Rattus norvegicus: one gene and its partners. The protein of the gene in region 2 interacts with the protein of the main gene of each other region in a pairwise test. Links are inferred from orthologs where the notes say so. Each region holds a gene or a part of one and is shown on either strand. Other genes may lie near its edges.

The links.
Region 1: the proteins of Ndel1 (region 2) and Traf3ip3 interact in binary tests that used the Homo sapiens proteins (3 or more experiments, as listed by UniProt). The two-hybrid records come from large-scale screens. The link is inferred for Rattus norvegicus from reciprocal best matches to the Homo sapiens genes NDEL1 and TRAF3IP3.
Region 3: the proteins of Ndel1 (region 2) and Mis18a interact in binary tests that used the Homo sapiens proteins (3 or more experiments, as listed by UniProt). The link is inferred for Rattus norvegicus from reciprocal best matches to the Homo sapiens genes NDEL1 and MIS18A.

Annotation. Positions count from the first base shown.
Region 1 is NC_086031.1:107,245,708-107,249,456, forward strand, and holds the start of Traf3ip3 (TRAF3-interacting JNK-activating modulator), read right to left. Parts: upstream 2,449-3,749; 5' UTR 2,409-2,448; intron 1-2,408. UniProt on the Homo sapiens protein: Adapter protein that plays essential roles in both innate and adaptive immunity. Plays a crucial role in the regulation of thymocyte development.
Region 2 is NC_086028.1:54,059,261-54,063,009, forward strand, and holds the start of Ndel1 (nuclear distribution protein nudE-like 1), read right to left. Parts: upstream 2,776-3,749; 5' UTR 2,735-2,775; intron 2,679-2,734; exon of another isoform or gene 2,153-2,678; intron 1-2,152. UniProt on the Homo sapiens protein: Required for organization of the cellular microtubule array and microtubule anchoring at the centrosome. May regulate microtubule organization at least in part by targeting the microtubule severing protein KATNA1 to the centrosome.
Region 3 is NC_086029.1:43,464,921-43,468,669, reverse strand, and holds the start of Mis18a (protein Mis18-alpha), read left to right. Parts: upstream 1-1,512; 5' UTR 1,513-1,535; coding exon 1,536-1,842; intron 1,843-3,749. UniProt on the Homo sapiens protein: Required for recruitment of CENPA to centromeres and normal chromosome segregation during mitosis.

The DNA of each region.
Region 1 (3,749 bases), on a different chromosome or scaffold from region 2:
ACGAGGAAGAAATAACAGTGGCCACAATGAACCTCAGCCACGTGCAACTGTGGACAGCCCGGCCCACTTTATCTCCCAGTCTAAAAAAGAAAGATGATGTCATCTTTACTATCTCTTGCTAAGTGACACTTCTGGAGACCTAGCAGGATAGCCACGACCCTTCAGGAAGTGACCTGGTTTGTGACTCGCACTTTCTGTTCCACGCCTAGCTCTCAGCAGCCATCTTGTGGCTCTGGACTGGCATGACCTAGGGGAAACCTGCTCTAATTCCTCCATCACTCCACCCCGACCTTCCTCTTTGTCATCTACTGTGTATCTAGTGCTGGGGTATCTGACTCTCAGCTGCTGATCAAGTCAGTCAGTTAGCTGAGAGCCTTCAAAATGCTTGGTGTTGGTTCACTTCAGAGAATCTGGCTCAGGGGTTGGAGATTTAGCTCAGCGGTAGAGCCCTTGCCTAGCAAGCGCAAGGCCCTGGGTTCGGTCCCCAGCTCCGAAAAAAAAAAAAAAAAAAAAAGAGAATCTGGCTCAGAGACTCAGAGGGGGAGGCTCTGTTCTCAGGATCACCTCCCTGCCAGGCTCAGTCTGGTCCCGAAATCTGCCATCTAAACTAGCAAGCATGTGAGGTGCTCTCAACAGGAATCCTACAAATTGTAAGAAACAAGACAAGAAACCTGTATAACAGAAAGTCCCCAAGAAACAGTTTCCAGGACAGGCCTCGTGCCCCTCGAGGTGGCCTTGCCTGGCATCCATATAGTGACCAAATCCTCATCTTCACCCACCTGCTGTGGATTTGGGTAGTCTGGCTTATTTAATAAGGCTGTTTATTTAATTATGTAGAAAAGGACTCAGAAAGCCTACACATTTTCTGTCATAAATGAATGTATAGAGGAGACTTGGAATTACACACATGCATACTCTCAAGCCAGTGCACCTGACTATTCTGTCTTCATTGGAAGAAGGGAACCCTTGCCTTGGGGCCAGACTATGACTCACTTCCAGGTTGTCAATACCCACCAAACAGATATGTGTGGGTGGGTGGGGCGGTGAATTTGCTAAGCCTCAGTCTTCTCATTTATGAGATGGGGCTAAAACTTCCCTTGAAGAGGCGTGAGTCTTAAAAGACAACACCCAACACCCACACCATATATCTCATACACGGCATATGATAAGTGACAGCTTTTCAAAAACAACAGATATAAAAATGTTGTAGACATCGTGGCTGGCGCTGAAGTCTTCACGGCTACCAAGAAGACTTGGTGCTGTGAATCAAATGCCCCAGGCAAAGCCAGACTCTAGATTGAGAATGTTCAGTTTTGCCCCCTCATTCCCTACTCCCTTCTCTCACTTCTGAACAGGGCTTGTAGCTCCATCTTGGAATAATTTAACTGCTGTGGTTCCTGAAGTCTCTGGGTTTGGGTTACAAGGACAAAGCACTTCTCTGTGGTCTGGACCCAATCATCAACTCAATTCGGTCAGAGAGGGAGGCAAAGAACAGGTAGGTGAAGAATGGATAAACCATTATGAATGTGAGGGCTTAGGCACCCCACTGTGGGGCTTCATACTAGAGGGAGCTCCCTGGGTTGCGGATCCTCCCTTCCAGATGGGCAGAAGAAAGGTCTGATGGGTGGAGGGCAGGCCTGTGATGATGTGTCTTCCTGTTCTCCATCTAGCTTGTCTGTCTGTCCGCTGAAATATGGCTTTTTTTACCCTTTGCATCATTAGGACTTAATGATTAGGAAGTTGCAACAGGAATGACTTCCTAGACAGAGGAGAGTCTCAGGACCCATAGCCTTCTACATCTGCTGGTGTGTGACGTGACACTTGTATGGAACTTCTAGGATGGTGGGATCATGCTTAAACACAAGAAGGCTTGTGGAAGGTCTGATGGGCTATAAAAAGGGAACTGTAGTTCAGAGAAAGGTCACAAGGCTGCTGCCTAGGATTTTCTGTAGTTTCTGAGGTACCCTTTGCCAACATGAAAGGGCCTAGTTAGAGCTTGGAGGCAGGGCTAGTACTGACTAGGGAAGGCTCTCCTTCCTGCATGAGAAGACAGCAGGGCTCTGCCCCTCACCTACAGACGTGTTGCTGAAGGAGAAGGGCCTGTTACAGAGATCCCTGCATGGAAGGGATTGGGAAAGACCATCTAATTCCTGTCACAGATGCCAAGCACACCAACACCAAGCCATGGGACTCACATCTAAACCAACAGACGGAGCAGAGTCAGGAGCCATACCCCGTGGTTGCCCGAGGACTCCAGCATAGGACGCCTTTTTAGTCATACAAACCCCAGCAAGTAAATTCTACCACCTGCTGCTATGCTGGAGGCTGGCATGGCTGAGCATATTCTGCCCCACCCTAAGTCAACAGGCACAAACCTGGATTCCCAAAGCATTTTCCTCCACAGTTACCTCAGGTCCCAGGCTCTGTCTCAAGTGTCTCGGGAGAGCCTTCGGCCCTTTCTGGGTCTCTCTGGTCTCAGATGGTGGGGAAGCTTTCACATCGAGGTCCTAAGTCCCCTCAACATTTTCTTCTTTCTTTCGCACAGCAGCAGCCTGCTGAAACAGGAAACACAAGCCACAGTGTTCACAAACCTCAGTTCCTCTCCTTGCCCTTAGCAATTTGAAGAGGGCCCCTGCACCCTTGGGGCCTCCAGGGCTGGTGAGGAAGTCCACCCAGGCACCCACTCTCCAACTACCTGATTGGTCTGCTCTCCGGCAGCTTCAGCCCAATATTCATTTCCTGTGGTTGGTGTTGTAGCTCCGTAGGTAGAGGGCTTTACTCGCCTAAGAAGCACAAAGCCCAGGATTCCATCCCTAACATTGAAAGTCAGACCCGAAAACCCAACACCCAGGAAGCAGAGGCAGGAGAACCAGGAGGTCAAGATCATCCTTAGCTACACATTGAGTTCAACGCTAGGCCGAACTACATGAAACCCTGTTTTAATTTTTTTTTTTTTTAAGGATTACACAGGGATGAATTCTGGGGCAGATCCAAACCTTGCCACTTTTGTGGTAAGACCCAGGAGGGATGTTCCTCATACTATTAAGCTGTTTGGAGTCTCTCTTTCCTTTGGGATGTTGGCATTGGGTAGTTTCCTGTGGTCTGAAGGATCTGTGTGTTTTGTGAAGTTCCAGATCCTTGAGGGCATCCTGGGTTCATTTCTTTGTGAGGCAATGTGGAAGGGGTGAAGTATGGGTGACCAGAGGGCAGAAGGCAGGCAGCCAGAAGAATCTGAAAAATCCCAGTGAGTTGAACTAAGAAATGTTGGGAAAAATTAAAGTGGACTGATGCGTTAAAAAGAAACTATTACAAATGGGATATTCCAGAGCAACTCAGGATAGATAGGCTGGAAGCTGAGTTGGTGCAAGTTCACGGACAGCTCTGGAACCTTCTGAACCAGCCACTCAGTATGCAAGCCAGATGATTGATGTGGCTGCCGTGACCATACAGTTTGACATGTGTGAGGCAGGTGTGAGGCAGGTGTGAGACAGGTGTGAGGCAAGTGTGAGGCAGGTGTGAGGCAGGTGTGAGGCAAGTGTGAGGCAGGTATGAGACAGGTGTGAGGCAGGTGTGAGACAGGTGTGAGGCAGGTGTGAGGCAGGTGTGAGGCAGGTGTGAGACAGGTGTGAGACAGGTGTGAGGCAGGTGTGAGGCAGGTGTGAGGCAAGTGTGAGGCAGGTGTGAGGCAGGTGTGAGGCAGGTGTGAGGCAGGTGTGAGACAGGTGTGAGGCAGATAATGAGATGTTCAA
Region 2 (3,749 bases):
TTCAGTAGGTAGAAAGAACAGGACCAAGGTCATCCTTGACTACATGGCAGGTTGGAGGCTCAGTTTAGGCTACACAAGACTTTTTCAAAAAAGAAAAAAGATTTAAAAAAAAAATTCATGGGAATAGAGATGGTTCTGAGGTTAAGAGCACCCACATCAGGCAGGCTCACAACCATCTAGACAGCTCCAGCTCCAGGGATTCAGGTGCCTCCTGTCTCTGTGGACATTGAAGGACTGAAAGGGTGGTTCAGTGGTTCAGCACTCTTGCAGAAGACTAGATTATGGTCCCCTGCACCACACAGGGAACTCCCTCTCCACCTCTAGCTCTTCTTATGACCTCTACAGCCACCCACATACATGTGAGCACACACTCACACACAGAAATAAGTTTTTAAAAGAAAATGAATCAAGCCAGAAAATTCAGCATGCAAAGTGCTTAAAAGCCCAGACCCTAGAGTCAAACTATGCCCTTGCTGGGAGACCTAGGGCAAGCTATTCAACTTCTCAGTGCCTCATTTTCTCACCTATAAAACAGGAAAATTAGTTGTGTTTTGAAGATGAAGTGAATTACTATTGGCACAGCATTCGTAACAGAGCCTGATGCATAAACACAGCATAAATGTTAATTCAATTGTAAGAATCTAGTATGCCAGAGTGGGCCTTTAAAGTTAGAGAGCAGACTTCCAAATTTAAAAACACGTGATTCCTCAAATCGTTCCATTACAAAAGGCTCTCACATCTCTCCTGGAATAAGCTTTGTGAGCTAGACTAGAACAAGCAGGAGTTCTTACCCTTCCGTCACACCTACCTGGCAGTACCCAGCTTTACCCCACTACACCTATTCATCAACTTTATCCTTCTAAAAGCCAGGTTTAAATAACGAATGTGCTATCGTTGCATGATCTCAAAGCTGTCTGCGACTGTGAAGACTGTGTGTGGAGTTTGCCTCCAGGTACACTGAGAGATTGTATTCACTATCACCTGAGATTACGTAAGTGGGGAAAGTTAGCCAATGTCAAATTTTTCACTGCTTTTAAAAAGTGCTCAAATGGCACATCTACAATCTTCTGAAGCTGCAATACAGGCAGACAAGTATGGGGTATGAGTCTAAAATTACAACTTCTGCACCAGACATTATCACACTCTATATGACCTTTAGATGTGAACTGGCAATTAGCTCACTTAAACTTTAGACAGTTATCATCTAACATACCTTACTGGCAAAGACACTCTGTACAGCACTAAGAAAATTAATTTTACATGATAGGCTATTAACATATGCAGAATGAAATAGGTCTTATCATTTTTCTCCCTTATGAAGTGCCTAGAAAGTAATTTTAACTTAAGTCATCAATCCTTGAGTTTATTTTACCATGCTTTAAAATCCAAATGAAAATAAATTTTGTTGGTCTCATGAAAGCATATTCAGGTCTATTTTTTCTGTATCCAACTTCAATTTATCTCACTCAAAGCAAAGGCACTGCAGATTTAGCAACTTCTAAGATTAAGTCTGTTTCTAACTGGGGCTAAAGGTTTTCTTTGTTCTTTATGCATTTCTACTCTAAATAAAGATGTTAACAATCCAGAAGAGATACCCCTACTGGGTGCCCTTTGGCCTCCTTTGACTGACTCCTCAGCTTAATGCTGGGCTTTGCCCTTCACCTTTCTGATTTGGCAGACACTAACCCTATCTCTTAAACGCAGTGAAAACAACACAATTTTCAGACTAACAAACAACCACTCATGAGCAAGCTTCAGGGTAAGATTTTTCTAATAACTGAGCTGATTTCTGGTCCATTTACTGGTAAATAGATAAGTAATCTAGTAACTTCGGGTATTATCTTTTGACAAGTACAATGCTCAGTCCTCTTTCTGGCTGAAGAAGGTATAAAAATTTCATGAAAACTGAAACCAGAACCCTAAGCTGAGAAAGGTAAATTGTGATCCAAGCTAAACTTCTCACCAGTTAGTGGAACTCAAGTTAAAAAAAAAAAATCACAATTGCCCCCACCCCCTTGTACCTAGGCTCAATTTCCCCACACTCCAAACAGTGACTTACAGTATCCGTTACAAGTGCAAACAACAAATGTTCTAAAATGTTTATAAACGCTACAGGAATAAACCCTAAATAATGAAAAGAACCCTCACTCGCCTTAAAGGGTTAGTCACCTCATCGTTTCCCAGAGAAAAAGGAGAACCCAAGCAACCGGAGTTGGTTGGTGATACTTTCCCCAACTCCAAAGCAGATGATTAGCAGTCCGGGGCAGACAGTCACGAGACTACCAGTCTCTGCCAACGCGTGCTGCTCCCGCTCTCCCCTCCCGCATATGGGGCGCTGGGAAATCAAGATCCAACCCTGCTCCTAACCACCCGGGCAGCTCCGGGGAATTCAGGGTGGGTGGAGCAAGACGCTGGGCGCGCCGCTGCCACCCCAACTGGGCCACTCCTCGAGCCGTCAGTCCCGGTTGCCACGTCCCGGCCTCCGTCCCTCCTCTGGAAGCCCCGCACTCGCTCTCCTGCAGGTGCCCCCAGTGGGCCACACCTCCGACAGTAAGGAAGGGGCAGTTAGAGCGGTTGGAACAGTTGTTTCCGTACCGGCCGCCCCAGAACCCAAGCCCGGCCTGGCCCACCGGGCCCTGAGCCACAGCCCCGCGGTCAGGCAGGCTCCCCAGGGGCAGGCCTCGGCGCTGCCCACTCGGCTCGACCCCAGAGGCTGCCTCACACGGGAGCTCACCGCCAATGTGTCAAAAGCGCATGTTCGCCGCCGCTCGGCCGACGTCTCTGCTCCGCTGGCCTGGCCAGGCCCGCCCAGCCTCTCAGCTCTGCTCCCTTCCGCAGCCCTGAGCTCCACTCCGCGTACCTCCGCGCTGGGCTCCTCCCCGACACGTCAGGGGCTCCCTGGGTGTCGGAAGCCATTCTGTGACGCACGGGGGTGGAGTCGAGAGCATGCGCAGAAGCAGGCGGGGGGGAGGAGCCATGGGAGGCAAGCGTCACAGGGAGCCGACCCAGGCCCTGCGCGCTGACGTCAGGCCTGCGACAACGTCCTGCGCAGGCGCCGCCCGGGGCACCCTAAGGGTGGGTTTTTAGCCCTCTGGGGTTTCCGGAAGCTGTGCTGTTGGCGAGAGTAGTTCCCTACGCTAAGAGGAAGGCAAGTATGAAGGCGTAAGGGAACTCAAGAAGGAGACAGGAAATATGCGCAACTGTCCTGGGAGTAGAAACGTAAATGAAGAAAAGGCATTTGGGGAACAATTTTAGGGATTTTTGCTGTCTCATGCTAAGTGTAATTCTAATTTCAGTGCTGTTGGGCTTGGTTTTGAGGTTTGAAAACAAAACAACATAGCATAAAACACGCTAAGCCTAAAAAAGGTGAGCTGAAGAAGCCCACGTATACTTTTAGGAAAGGTAAATATAAACAAAAACAGTGTAAGGTGGATTTTTTAAGGAGAACCTAAATTGATGAGCAGAGGAAGATTGGTAGGGTCTAAATCACCTTGAACTACACAATGAAGGAGTTAGGGTTTTAAAAAATGATTATGAGTTCACTGTGCGGTTTGTTGTGCCCAGGGTTGTACCAGTCACTGGTCTGCATTGCTTCATCACAGTAACCCCAGGTTACTCTCAATTACAAATAAGAAACGGCAAGATGAAGTTTCCCAAGGTCACTCAACTACAGCGCGAATTCAAATTCAGAAGCTATACTATTATTATCCACTACTACGATGACAAGAAGGGAAACATAGGCTAGACCA
Region 3 (3,749 bases), on a different chromosome or scaffold from region 2:
TTTAGGTGGTTCCTTTATTGTGCTCCCTCACAATTAAAACTGATGCTACATTGGAACATGGGATTTGGGGACACCTGAATCTGTTTGTTCTTGGGCCACAGCCACTCATGTTTGGCTCCGGCATACACTCTCTCTCAGCCACTTTGAGGTGAGAGCTCTGTTTCTTACAAAACAGGATGTGTTCTCTGAGGATAAAGGACTTCTGTACAGGGATATACCACTACAGAATTTTAAGCATTGACCATAGAATCCCAAAGTCTGAGCCAAACAACTGCCCACTGAATTCCAAAGATATTATGCAACGTGCACAACTCACATAGGCTGCATTGTGCATGGGACACAGGCAGCACCTTCAAAAGCAGTAGAGAGAAAACAACTCTATGGGTAGACAAATCCTAAATTATTTGATGCATTTTCTCCTACTTGGAAGCTAATTAATGCCGTTATGGTATCCTCACACACATCCCATTGCTCAGTTAATAGTCCAGGAGGTTACTGACCATTTAATCCTGTGAAGAATCAAGACTCAAGGCTGGCTTGTAATCCTAGCACGTGGGAGGCTGATGCAGGAGGATCGCCGTGGGTGGACAGCTTGGACAAAAATGAATCAAAAGAAACAAAAAGTTAAAAATCACACTTAGAGAAGGCAAAGTCGCCTTTCCAGTTTCCGGCCCTTTACTACCTTGGTCAGTCAACTCGAAGGTTTAGGATTCGAAACTTTTTACTAGGGGCCTGAGATACGAAAACAGGTGGTTGCGTATGCTGAAGTTTAACGAAGCGAACTGCGAAGTGTGACTTGGAGGAAAATACGGTGGTCTTTGCGTGTTGTTTCTTACTTCTGCATCCAGGCTGTCCCTGGTGGCGTCCCTCGGCTCTCCGCCAGCCTTCCCTTTAGCCTGTGGTCTTCTGAAGTCACAGGTTGACTTTCTGATGACTGACCGTCCTTCCCGCCCCTACTGTACTCTGACCCAGACAGAGTGAGTGACACTCGCCCACTTTGTAACCACAGTAATGCTGTCCCCTCCAGCTTCTCGTACTTTTCCCTTGCAGTGCAAGCCTGCGTAATGCTGGGTCTTTGAGGCAGGGGGTGTCTTTGGCTCGCCATCGATCCCTGATTTTTCTGGATCTAGGAAAGTGGGTCTCCGGGAGCAGACAGACTAGAATCAGGGATGTGGCTAGCAATACACCACTTGGAATTCCATGGAGGTGGGCCTGCTTACCAGATCTGCTTACCTAGCACCGGCATGTCCATTAATAATGTGGAAGGACTAGGTGAGCGGTTGCTTGTTTAATTCGAAGCCCTTAACTTTCTCAACGGCGGCGGAAGGACCTCCAACAAGCTAATTCACCTGCCTTTGCTTAGGAAGACGCCAGGACGCAGGCGCAATGAGCTAGGCTCGCTCCAGCCAGATAGTGAGCATGCGCCTTAGGCCCTACTTCGGGCCTCACCCTCCTCGGCGGTGCCCGCCTCTTGCTCCTTGCGCATGCGCAGCTGTGCTATTTCCCGTGAGGCTCCGGGGCGCGGCAAATTCGTCATGGCTGGTACATTTTCTCTGGAACCCTGCTCTACCTCTAGTTCGTGTAACCACCAGGGCAAGCGGAGCGAGTCTTCGCTGCTGGAGAAGCGGCTGTCGGAAGATTCGAGCCGCCATTGGCGGCTGCAGAAGTGGGCGAGCATGTCGAGCGCAGACGCGTCGAGGACACTGCTGGAGAGGCGTGAGGAGAAGGCTGCCGCGGCGGAGAACCCGCTGGTGTTCCTGTGTACGCGCTGTCGCCGGCCGCTGGGCGACTCGCTCACCTGGGTGGCTAGCCAGGAGGACACCAACTGCATCCTGTTGCGCAGTCAGTTTGGGCCGGGGCCGTGGGACCGCCTTCCCGCGTGAGGGTGCTGCGGGAGGGGTGGGGTGGGGGTGAGCTGTCCCAGCAAACCGTGGCGAGGGCATTCCTGTGGGTGGCTCACGAGTAACAGGGCTTTTTCTGGGGTCTTCCATCCCTAGAAGGGGAGCGGTTGAGCATCATCCTGAACGTTATTCAGAAAGAAATATCCAAGCGTTTTTAGCAAGGTGCTTCCTTCAGGGGAGTGTTTTCACATCTAACGGATTCTGTCAGCTGCTTTGGGTACTTTGTAGGCCGCCGCTGCTGGACTTAGTTTAGTGCCCTTGGGCAATCTGTTCAAAGGCTTTTGCCTCAGTCTCCAAATTGAGGGCTAATACATGGGATAACGGGGACGATAAGTGTATGTATGGTATATGGCCACAGGATTAGGCGATTTCTTTACTGGATGAGCTTCTTGATAGAGTTTAGTTTGACTCAAGCATTGCCACCATTAATTAGGGTAGCCTAAAATTGGGTTGAGATTTTTGACATAGTAGTTTTTTAATGGCTTTAAAAGAAATAACGTGTCTTTAATTTTTAATCCCCCGTTTTTGTAGCTTTTCTATCTTGCTTTCTGTGTGTATTAATACTGTTGTTAGGTTTTAAAAATTTAACCTGTGTGGATTAGATAATTCTATTTATCCTCATGTTAGTACTTTTTACTGAGTCTTTTAAACAGTAGGAGCAAAAAGATAATTCCATTCACTGGAATTATCCCTTTGCACCTATTAAACAATGCAGAAGGGTGTAAAAGCTTTTTTTTTTTTTTTTTTTTTGGTTCTTTTTTTCGGAGCTGGGGACCGAACCCAGGGCCTTGCGCTTCCTAGGCAAGCGCTCTACCACTGAGCTAAATCCCCAACCCCGTAAAAGCTTTTTAAAAAAATGACCTTCCAGATTAATTTCTTTTCCCTCTTGCCCCAGTTGGAGTGTTTTATTTACCTTCGTTCACATTTATGACATTTACAATTTTTAATTAATTTTTTTCTGTTTTATAATGGGGCTCTTACTGTTTCCAAGGATGACTTTGAACTAATGATCTAACCTCAGCTTTCTAAGTAGTGCGGATTACAGATGTGCACCCCTATATCTCACTCAACACTTAACACTTTATTTATAGCCACAACATGGTGATTTAGCTTTACTTATTTTAAGATTTATTTATTAAGTATTTATTATTATATATCCAGTATTCTGCCTGCATGTGTGCCTGCACACCAGATCTTGTTACAGATGATTATGAGCCATGCTGTGGTTGCTGGGAATTAAACTCAGGACTTCTGAAAGAGCAGCCAGTGCTCTTAACCTCTGAGCCATCTCTCCAGCCTTTATAATGTTCTATAAATTAATTTCCGAACCCCACTAGTTTTGTTAACATATTAAAAAAATTAGGGGTTAGAGAGATGACTTAGTGGTAAAGAGCCCTTGCAAAGGGCCAGGGTTCAGTTCCCAGCCCTGCATGGTGGTTTACAACCGTAGGTTACTGCAATACAGGGCGTCTGCTGCCACAGGCACCACCCCGTGCACTTGGTGCACACATGCATACAGACAAAACACTCAGAAATGAATAAAATTTTACAGTTTATAATTTCCCATTCTTGAGTTGTTTAATTATCACAAGTGTCCCCAAGGAAATGTCAAGTTTGGGTGCTGGAAAATGTCTTTTTGTTACCTTTATATGCAAATGCTGAGTGTCCCCCACCCCGGTGGGGGGATGTTCAGGTAGTAAAAAGGGTTCCAGGTCAATGTGGCCAAAGTGTGGATAAAGACAAACCTTAGAAAGGGACCAGGGAATGAAGGGACTTTAGGCTATGGTGAAACAATGGGGGTCTACTGCTGAGCGAGGAGTGACAGGATTCAGCTCTTCTGGAACAAGC